2 linked regions of the Callithrix jacchus genome follow. The protein of the gene in region 1 binds, or shares a complex with, the protein of each later gene. Links are inferred from orthologs where the notes say so. Each region holds a gene or a part of one and is shown in the gene's direction. Other genes may lie near its edges. The genes, in order: CMKLR1 and RARRES2.

Region 1 (3,803 bases):
CTTGCTCAGGGCCCGGGAGGACATTGTTGGTCTTGCTGGTGTTGGTCAACCTCTTAAAGCCAGCTCTAGGTTCCCCTAATGGTCCCTGTCTTCTCTTGCAGAGAATGGAGTATGAAGATTATAACACCTCCTTCAGTTATGATGATGAATACCCTGATTATTTAGACACCATTTTTTTTTTGGAGGAGTCAGCCCCCTTGGGAGCCAGGGTGACCAGGATCGCCATGGTGGTGGTCTACATCATCATCTGCTTCCTTGGGATCCTGGGCAATGGTCTGGTGATTATCATTGCCACCTTCAAGATGAAGAAGACGGTGAACACGGTCTGGTTCCTTAACCTGGCAGTGGCAGATTTCCTGTTCAACATCTTCCTCCCGATCTATATCACCTATGTCGCCATGGACTACCACTGGGTTTTTGGGACGGCCATGTGCAAGATCAGCAACTTCCTTCTCATCCACAACATGTTCACCAGTGTCTTCCTGCTGACCATGATCAGCTTCGACCGCTGCATCTCTGTGCTCCTCCCTGTGTGGTCTCAGAACCACCGCAGCGTTCGCCTGGCTTACGTGGCCTGCATGGTCATCTGGGTCCTGGCTTTCTTCTTGAGTTCCCCATCTCTTGTCTTCCGGGACACGGCTGACAATCATGGGAAAATAGCCTGCTTCAACAACTTCAGCATGTCCGCAGCTGGGTCTTCCTTGTGGTCTGCTCAACCCCAGGTGAACCGTGTGGGGTACAACTGGCACCTGGTGGTGACCATGACCCGCTTCCTCTTCGGCTTTCTGGTCCCAGTCCTCATCATTACAGTTTGCTACCTCACCATTGTCTGCAAACTGCGGCGCAACCGCATGGCCAAGACCAAGAAGCCCTTCAAGATCATTGTGACCATCATCATTACCTTCTTCTTCTGCTGGTGCCCCTACCACACACTCAACCTCCTGGAGCTCCACCACATTTCCATCCCTACCTCTGTCTTCACCCTGGGTTTTCCTCTGGCCACTGGCTTCGCCATTGCCAACAGCTGTATAAACCCCATTTTGTACGTTTTCATGGGTCAGGACTTCAAGAAGTTCAAGGTGGCCCTCTTCTCCCGCCTGGACAATGCTCTAAGTGAAGACACAGCCCACTCTTCCTACCTCAGCCATAGAAGCTTTACCAAGATGTCATCAATGAATGAGAGGACTTCAGTGAATGAGAGGGAGACTAGCATGCTATGAGCCTCACTGGGGAGCCCCTCAGTGGACCTTCTCAACCCAGGGGCACTTAAGGATATGTCTTCTGAAGATCAAGGCAAGAACCTCTTTAGCATCCACCAATTTCCACTGCATTTTTCATGGGGATGAACAGTGTTTTACACTGGGAATCCAGGGCCTGGGACCCCTTTCTCCAAGTGGACAGAATGCACTGTGTTCCACACAGCCAAGGCTGGTCTCCCATTTATGCTTCCTGGGAGACCAGACTTGACTGACTCAAAGTAAACAAGGAAGAATTCTCAAAAGCACTGCCATTAACTGGGATTGGCATGAGGCAGTGGGATTAAGCTGCCTACTGTGTGTGCCCCAGAATGACACAGACACTCTCCATGGTCCATTCCTGCTGTGAGCAGTGGGAGGTCAGAGCAAACCTAGTGTGACACAGAGCACACCTGGCCCTTGTCTACCTATTATGAGTGGCCTATTATCACTGGCCAGAAAGCCCTACCTTTAAGTCACTCCTCTGCATTAAAGCATGTGGAAACGCATAGGTGATCCGGGAGAGGAAGGTGCCATATCAGCCCATGAACTCCATAGACCGTGAATTTGGCTTTTGGATCAGCTAGGAAGACAGAGAACAGGTTCTGAGAGGTCATGTGGGCTCTTCGCAAGGGAAGACAAGTGAGGGATGCAACAAGGACTTGAGATTTGGCAAAGGAATGCAAAAGAAGAAAAGAACCTTCAAAAGATGCAGGCATCAAGCAGCTCACCCTAGAACATCACAGGATGATGGTGCTTCACGCTGGAGCTATTGTGGGGTGAGGGTGGCCCCAGCCCCTGAGCTCACCTTGCCCTTCTTACCTGGGGGTGGGGTTGTGGCAGGCATCTTCACCAGCAGCCCTCACCTCATCACAGGGATTCTTTCGGCCTTTCCTAATCCACTCAGCTCTGGCCGGAGGGGCTTAGAATAAAACACTGGTGGTGGGGCTTCTCCTTCTGGTTAATTTTCTCAATGCCTTTGGAGATGGGTCCAAAATACAGCTTTGGGAAGCAACTCTGGAGAGTCCACTTGGAAGAAGAGTATGTCCGAGGGTTCAGTCACTTGAAAGAGTCTGAAACTGGACTCCTTGAACTGTGGTCCCGAGCTGCAGACACCAAATACCTCCTGGATATAGATGCCTGGCATAGCTTTTTTCATCTAATATTGACACGTCCCTGTGGCACAGAGTGTCATTGCCCCATTTACAAATGACATAGCTGAGGCCCAGAGGGGCAAAGTAAGTTGCCCAACATCACACAGCTAATCAGTGGCAGAGTTAAGGTCTGAACCTGGCTCTGTCTGGCTCCAGAAACTCCTTTCCTCTATTTGGAGTTTCTCTGTGGAGATGATTCTAGTGTATTGAAAGCCTACATTTATTTAGCACTTTTTGTATTACGCACTTTACATATGTTTTCTCATTTAATCATTACATCAACCCTGAGTTAGGTACTGTTACAACTTCCCTTTTACACAGGAGGAATCTGAGGCTCAGAGAAGTTAAGTAAGTTGCCCAAAGATACCCAGCTAGTCTCTGCCAGAACTTGGATTTGAACCTCAGTCTACCTGGCTCAAATGAGGCTGCAGAGTCAGGAAGGACCTAAAGAGGTTGGAGATTTTTACCATAAATATTGATTCTTCTGCAAAAGAATGTGAACATCTTAATGGCCTTTAAGAAGCTTTGTAAATAATTTTCAAAAATGATGCAACATGGCAGAGAAAATGCACTTGGCTTCCAGCTTGCTCAGCAGCCATTAACAGCCCCCTACCGTGGCTCCACCTCCTGCGTCTCCTGAGATGAAGGCAATGGGGAGGGAGGGCTGGCAGGAGGCAGTCCCTTGTGGGCCCGAGTCCCTTTGGCTCCTAAGTGTCCACGTTCTGTTCTCTTCCAAGTCCTTTCATCCTTAAGCTGATTCTCCACCAAGATGCAACGAACAGATGCAATGTCTACCCTGTGCTGGGTGAGTTCCCGAGGCCACGGGCTGTTTGGAATCACACTTCATTAAAAGACAAACTGTTCCTTCCCTTGTTGTGCCTTAATGCTTATGACAAGGCAGCTCTGAATTGACCCCAAGCTGGAGCCTCTGAATGTTTTAAAGAGTTTGAATATAGACAGTTTGAGAGCAAAAAGGGAGCTTTAAATATTGCTCAGTGGCCCCCATCATCGCTCTTCCCATGTTTACTGAGGCACGAGATGGTGTGGGATCTGTCCCAGGTCACAGCAGCAGTCATCAGCAACTTGGGCCTCTTGGCTCCTAGGATGCTGCTTTTCCTGGGCTTCTGGGAGTCCAGGCCAGGCTGGGGGAGCCAGGAATTCATGTTGTCATCAGAAAAGATGATCAACAGGAGCACAATTCAAACCCACTGTTTTCCTCCTTAGAGTCTGGCCTCCCTCTTTCTGGATGCTCTGCTGGTCTTCCTGTTCTAACTTAGGTTCCTGTCAAGTACTTAAATGCAGCCAGAGGGTCCCGTACAGTCTTGTCCCCACAGCTTCATGTGACCCTCTCCATGGGTCATGCATATGTCATCCCTGCAGTGTGCAAAGTGTGCTCACCTGCATTGTTGCGCAG
Region 2 (4,464 bases), on another chromosome or scaffold:
TTCGCCATCTTGAGTTTATACAAAGATGGGGACTTAAATAGTGGCAAGACAGGTTATGGATGGGAGGGAAGACAAAGCCTGGTTAGCAAAGGCAGTCTTGTTATGTAACGACACCTCATAGGTAGCAGTCCTTGGAAAGAAGGGACAGTAAATGTTTCTTTCAGACCTGAAAAGGTGTCAGACTCTCAGTTCATCTTTCCTAGAACCAGACAAGGAAGGGCCTCAGAGAAAGCGTAGCTACATCAATGCAGATTTCCTCTATAGATGCCGATCTCTCCACAAATCAGCTTTTGGTTATTCTATTTCCAGCCATTCTGAACAGCCACCTTGAAATGTGTCAAATAAGTATATTTTGGGGTGAAATACTTTGGTTTTCTTCAAGTTCTTGGGCTGGGAAACGTCTTTCGGTGCATCTCTTCTCTCTAACCCCATCTAAAGCTTTCAGTGAACATGGATCCCCTCTCTTATCTCTGCTTAAGGACAGCCGAGGAGCTCATAGCTGGGGAGTGAAATGTCAGTGGTGGTATTTCAGGCACCCGGAAGTGGCTAATGGAAGCCGAGTTTCCTTCTGGTGCGCCCAGAGCATGCTGTAAAGGAAGCTCTCAGCTCTAAGTGGAGAATCCTGGCCGGGAGTGCGTAAGGAGGGGACAAAAGCCTGTGCCCCACACTGGGCACCAGTTGCTTTTCATGTTTTCTCATTTAATCCTCAAAACAACTCCTCAAGACAGAGTTTCTGATGCCCATCTTACAGATAAAGAATCAGAAGCTCAGAGAGAGCCTTGAAGTTACATGAGCTCCTCTACTGGAGGCCATCAGTGCAGTGTGGGAACTAGAGGCATGGTGGTGGTGGTTACTGACGTGCAAAGTCCCAGAGCTTCCTCGTCCTTGCTCCAGCGTACCAGGGAATCAAGCCGGTATTAGGACAGTTTTCCCTGAGTTTCCGTTTACCTTATGAATTCCATCATGCCGCTCTGCCACACGCAAAAGCTCCCCGACTCCCCATGAGAGTCTATCCCACGGAAAATGGGACACAGGAAAGGTCAGGAAAGACAGATGCGGGATCCACACTGGACATCTTTGCTGTCGATCAAGGCTGCAGGCAACAGAGTCTTCCCTAAAGGAGAGACCTTCCCTCTCAGTGTGGCTCAAGGAGTGGGAGGTGGGAACAGGGGGAGGGACCTCTTCGAGGTCTCCTTTAGTTTGAGGATGTCTGTATTTCGGGAAAGAATTCCCAGGATGAGTGTCTCAGGGACGCTACGGAATGGTCCCCCATAAAGGACCCAAGATAGGGCAGCCCTGCCTGGGCAGGAGTGGGGTGCAGAAAGCCCTTGAGGGAGCACGGCCGCAGAGAAGAGGCCCAGGCCGGCCAAGACCGCGGAATGCGGGACCCGAGCCAGGGGGAGGTGGGACCGAGGACTGCGCGCCCTGCCGAGCCGCCTGCAGCCTCGGCCAGGTTCAGGGTCATGAGGGGAGGGAGGCGGGTGGGATGGGGAAGGAGGGCGCGGGAGGGCGCGGGAGGGCTTCCCGCCCCGAGGAGGCCAGTCCACGTCGGGTGGGGAGGAGCCGGAGTTGCTGGAGGGGGCCCAGGAGGTGGGGGTGGGAGGAGGTGGGGACCGCCCGCGAGAAGAGCGGGAAGAGGCGGACAGCGAGGCCAAAATTTCAGCTGCGGGACGGCCAGGGGAGACCTCCAGACACAAGGAAGGACGTGAGAAGGGGAAGTGGGCTGGGGCGGCCGCCGGGCAGAGGGGCAGCTGCGCGGGTGGAATGAGGAACGCCTTTGCACTAAGGCAACGACCCTGGCAGCTCTTCACTGAGGGACCTCGGTTTCCACATCTGTGGCCTTCGGGTCCCAGGACGGACGGGGCTCTCCAGGATGGTCAGCCCCTCCGGGTGGCCTCAGTCATGCATCAGGGAACGGATCAGAAAGGCTGGGAGAGGGGTCGTAGGGAAGGCCCAGAAAAAAGAGAAAGGAGGGAAGATTTTGCCTGAAGCGGGAAAGCTAAGGGCCGGGGGGATGGGGGGTGGGGGTGGTCTAACCACCCCCACCCCCATTCCTAAGGACTGGGGTAGGCTGGTGGCCACGGCAGCCCTGGCGCCGGAGGGTTAGGACTCCAGCGGCCTCCACCCAGCCGGGCCCTCCCACGTGTTTGGGTCCAGGCTCTTGCCCTTTCCCCACCGCTGTCTAGGCCGGGAGAATGGGGCACCCCATGGGAGCAGGGGGATTCTAGAGGGGGGAGAAGCTGAGCCGGGAAAGCAGAAAGGGGGTCCGGGGACTGCAGGGAGGAGAGGGGGTCGTGCCGGAGACCCAGGGAGAGACAGTGAGCCAGATGAGGAGTGGAGGGTGGGAGTGGGCAGAGGATTGATTCCAGGCGTGGCAGGGAACTTTGCTAAAACTGCAGGCCCCAGGGAACAGCGCAGGCAGGGTGGGAGGGAATAGAGAGGACCAGGCAGACCCCAAGGCCAATTTGGACAAAGAGCCATTTCCCAGCTCCTTCGCCTCCGCCCAGGGTTCTGCTGGCCTGGCTCTCCGGGGCAGGGCGTGGGAGGAGGCGGCTTGGGCTGGCTCCGAGAACTGAGGGGCGCACACCCGCTCCGCAGGACCGGGGTGACACGGAAGCATGCGACGACTGCTGATCCCGCTGGCCCTGTGGCTGGGTGCGGTGGGCGCGAGCAGCACCGGGCTCACAGAAGCCCAGCAGCGGGGCCTGCAGGTGGCCCTGGAGGAATTCCATAAGCACCCGCCCGTGCAGTGGACCTTCCAGAAGATCTGCGTGTACAGCGCCGAGGACACGGTGAGTAGCATGGCCCCTGCAGAAGGGGAGGGTCGCACCAGGGAGACAGGCCCATTCCCAGAAGCAGGACAGAAATGCATGGGCTCTGAGCGCGGGGCCCTCTGGAGAAAGGCCCCAGGATAGTCTGCTGAGATGTGACTGTGTGAGGGAGGCACGGGTCACACCAGGGCTTGCTCTGGACACTCAGCTGGCCACTAGCCATCCTCTGCCTGCCTGTCCACAGCCCTTCCCAGCTGGAATATTTGTGAGGCTGGAATTTAAGCTCCAGCAGACAGACTGCCGGAAGGAGGACTGGAAGAAACCCCACTGCAAAGTCAAGCCCAATGGGGTGAGTGAAGGGGTATGAGTGATGAGCCTCCTAAGAGGTGGAATGGCTCAGCCTGAGCCCCAGGCTGTGAGGGTGGTCGAGCTGGGGCCTGGCAGGCAGGGAAAGGGTTTGGTTACCCCTGGACTTACCTTCATCATAGCAGGGCTCACCTGAGTTCCTCTCTCAAGCTTCAGGGCCTGGGTGGAAGGAGCCCGCTGTGTAAGGGTGTGTCTGGTGCCCTTGTAGACTAGCCAGGCTCCAGTCATCAGCCACGGTGGGGGCAAACCCACCACCATGGGGGCGATGCCTGGGCAGGGACTGCAGTGACTGTGTTCTAGTTCCTGCCCTGTGAGCACCACCTGGGCTCTGTATTACAGGTTCTGTAAAGGCCCCAGTTCTCTGTCGGCTAAAGGAGGGTGCTGGATTATAGCAATGATTCACCAACCTCAAATCAAATCTTACAAGAAAATGTAAATAGAATAGGTGACAGTTGAGCTGCTCTGGAGGAGTTGGGTGGGAAGAGCCCATCGGAGGAGGATTCTTGCCTTTGCAGAGCACAGGCACACCCATCCCCCACACTCCTGCACACAAACCACAGACAACCTATCTGGGAAGGACTCCTGCCTGCACACACACGAAATTTCCATAGTTTGAAAGCTGCATGGTCCCGGCTTCCAACATTCTGGGGTGGGCTGTGCCTGAAACCCGCTGGCCTGCATGACTCCTTACCCCTGGGCTCGAGGGCCTAGCTGGGAGCTGGTCCCATAATAGGCAGCCTTGGCTCCCACCCTCATGATGCCCAGGCCTCCCTCACCCCTTTCCTCTGCTCATTCTTTGCTCCCCTCCCCAGAGGAAGCGGAAATGCCTGGCCTGCATCAAACTGGGCTCTGAGAATGAGGTTCTGGGCCGGATGATCCACTGCCCCACAAAGACACAGGTTCTGCGGGTAAGAAGGGGCAAAGCTGCAGAGAGGCTGGGACGGGTCTGGGAAGACAGATGGAATCTTGACCTATGCGCCAGTCACGAGACCGAAGCTTGGCTGGATGGGGAGAGGGGGAAGTGGGGGCTAGAAGGTGCTGTGCCTGGTCCGGACAGTCTCCAGGGGATATAGAGGTGGTCCCTGCCCAGGATGCTGGCAACCCTCCACCAGCACTGCCTGCCCCACTCCCCTGGACACAGCCCACCCCTCCCACACTGCCTGAACAGTTGTGGGCACTGGCAGGAGCCTAAGGAGTACCAGGAGAACCAGTGCATCAAGGTGCAGCGGGCTGGCGAGGACCCCAACAGCCTCGGCTTCCCTGGAAATGCTGCTCTTCTCCAAGGGCTTGGCCGGCACTGGTAGGCATCAGGGGCAGGGGGCACTGT

What was found.
Region 2: the proteins of CMKLR1 (region 1) and RARRES2 are in contact, whole or in part, in a cryo-EM structure (PDB 8ZJG), measured with the Homo sapiens proteins. The link is inferred for Callithrix jacchus from reciprocal best matches to the Homo sapiens genes CMKLR1 and RARRES2. Residues at the interface, in NP_001135815.1 of Homo sapiens: Asp20, Tyr21, Leu22, Asp23, Ser24, Ile25, Val26, Val27, Leu28, Phe88, Leu92, His95, Tyr103, His104, Asn116, Leu119, Ile120, Met123, Arg178, Leu183, His184, Gly185, Lys186, Ser188, Cys189, Phe190, Asn191, Trp203, Thr205, His217; in NP_002880.1 of Homo sapiens: Leu34, Phe37, His38, Phe60, Thr75, Ser76, Cys77, Arg96, Leu111, Gly112, Arg113, Leu114, Val115, His116, Cys117, Pro118, Ile119, Thr133, Leu136, Arg137, Gln139, Arg140, His146, Ser147, Phe148, Tyr149, Phe150, Pro151, Gly152, Gln153.

What each region holds. Positions count from the first base shown.
Region 1 is NC_133510.1:111,172,008-111,175,810, reverse strand, and holds part of CMKLR1 (chemerin-like receptor 1), read left to right. Parts: intron 1-101; 5' UTR 102-104; coding exon 105-1,220; 3' UTR 1,221-3,803. UniProt on the Homo sapiens protein: Receptor for the chemoattractant adipokine chemerin/RARRES2 and for the omega-3 fatty acid derived molecule resolvin E1.
Region 2 is NC_133512.1:97,889,054-97,893,517, forward strand, and holds the start of RARRES2 (retinoic acid receptor responder protein 2), read left to right. Parts: upstream 1-1,395; 5' UTR 1,396-1,453; intron 1,454-1,621; exon of another isoform or gene 1,622-1,876; intron 1,877-2,598; 5' UTR 2,599-2,618; coding exon 2,619-2,792; intron 2,793-3,015; coding exon 3,016-3,120; intron 3,121-3,949; coding exon 3,950-4,045; intron 4,046-4,321; coding exon 4,322-4,437; intron 4,438-4,464. UniProt on the Homo sapiens protein: Adipocyte-secreted protein (adipokine) that regulates adipogenesis, metabolism and inflammation through activation of the chemokine-like receptor 1 (CMKLR1). Also acts as a ligand for CMKLR2.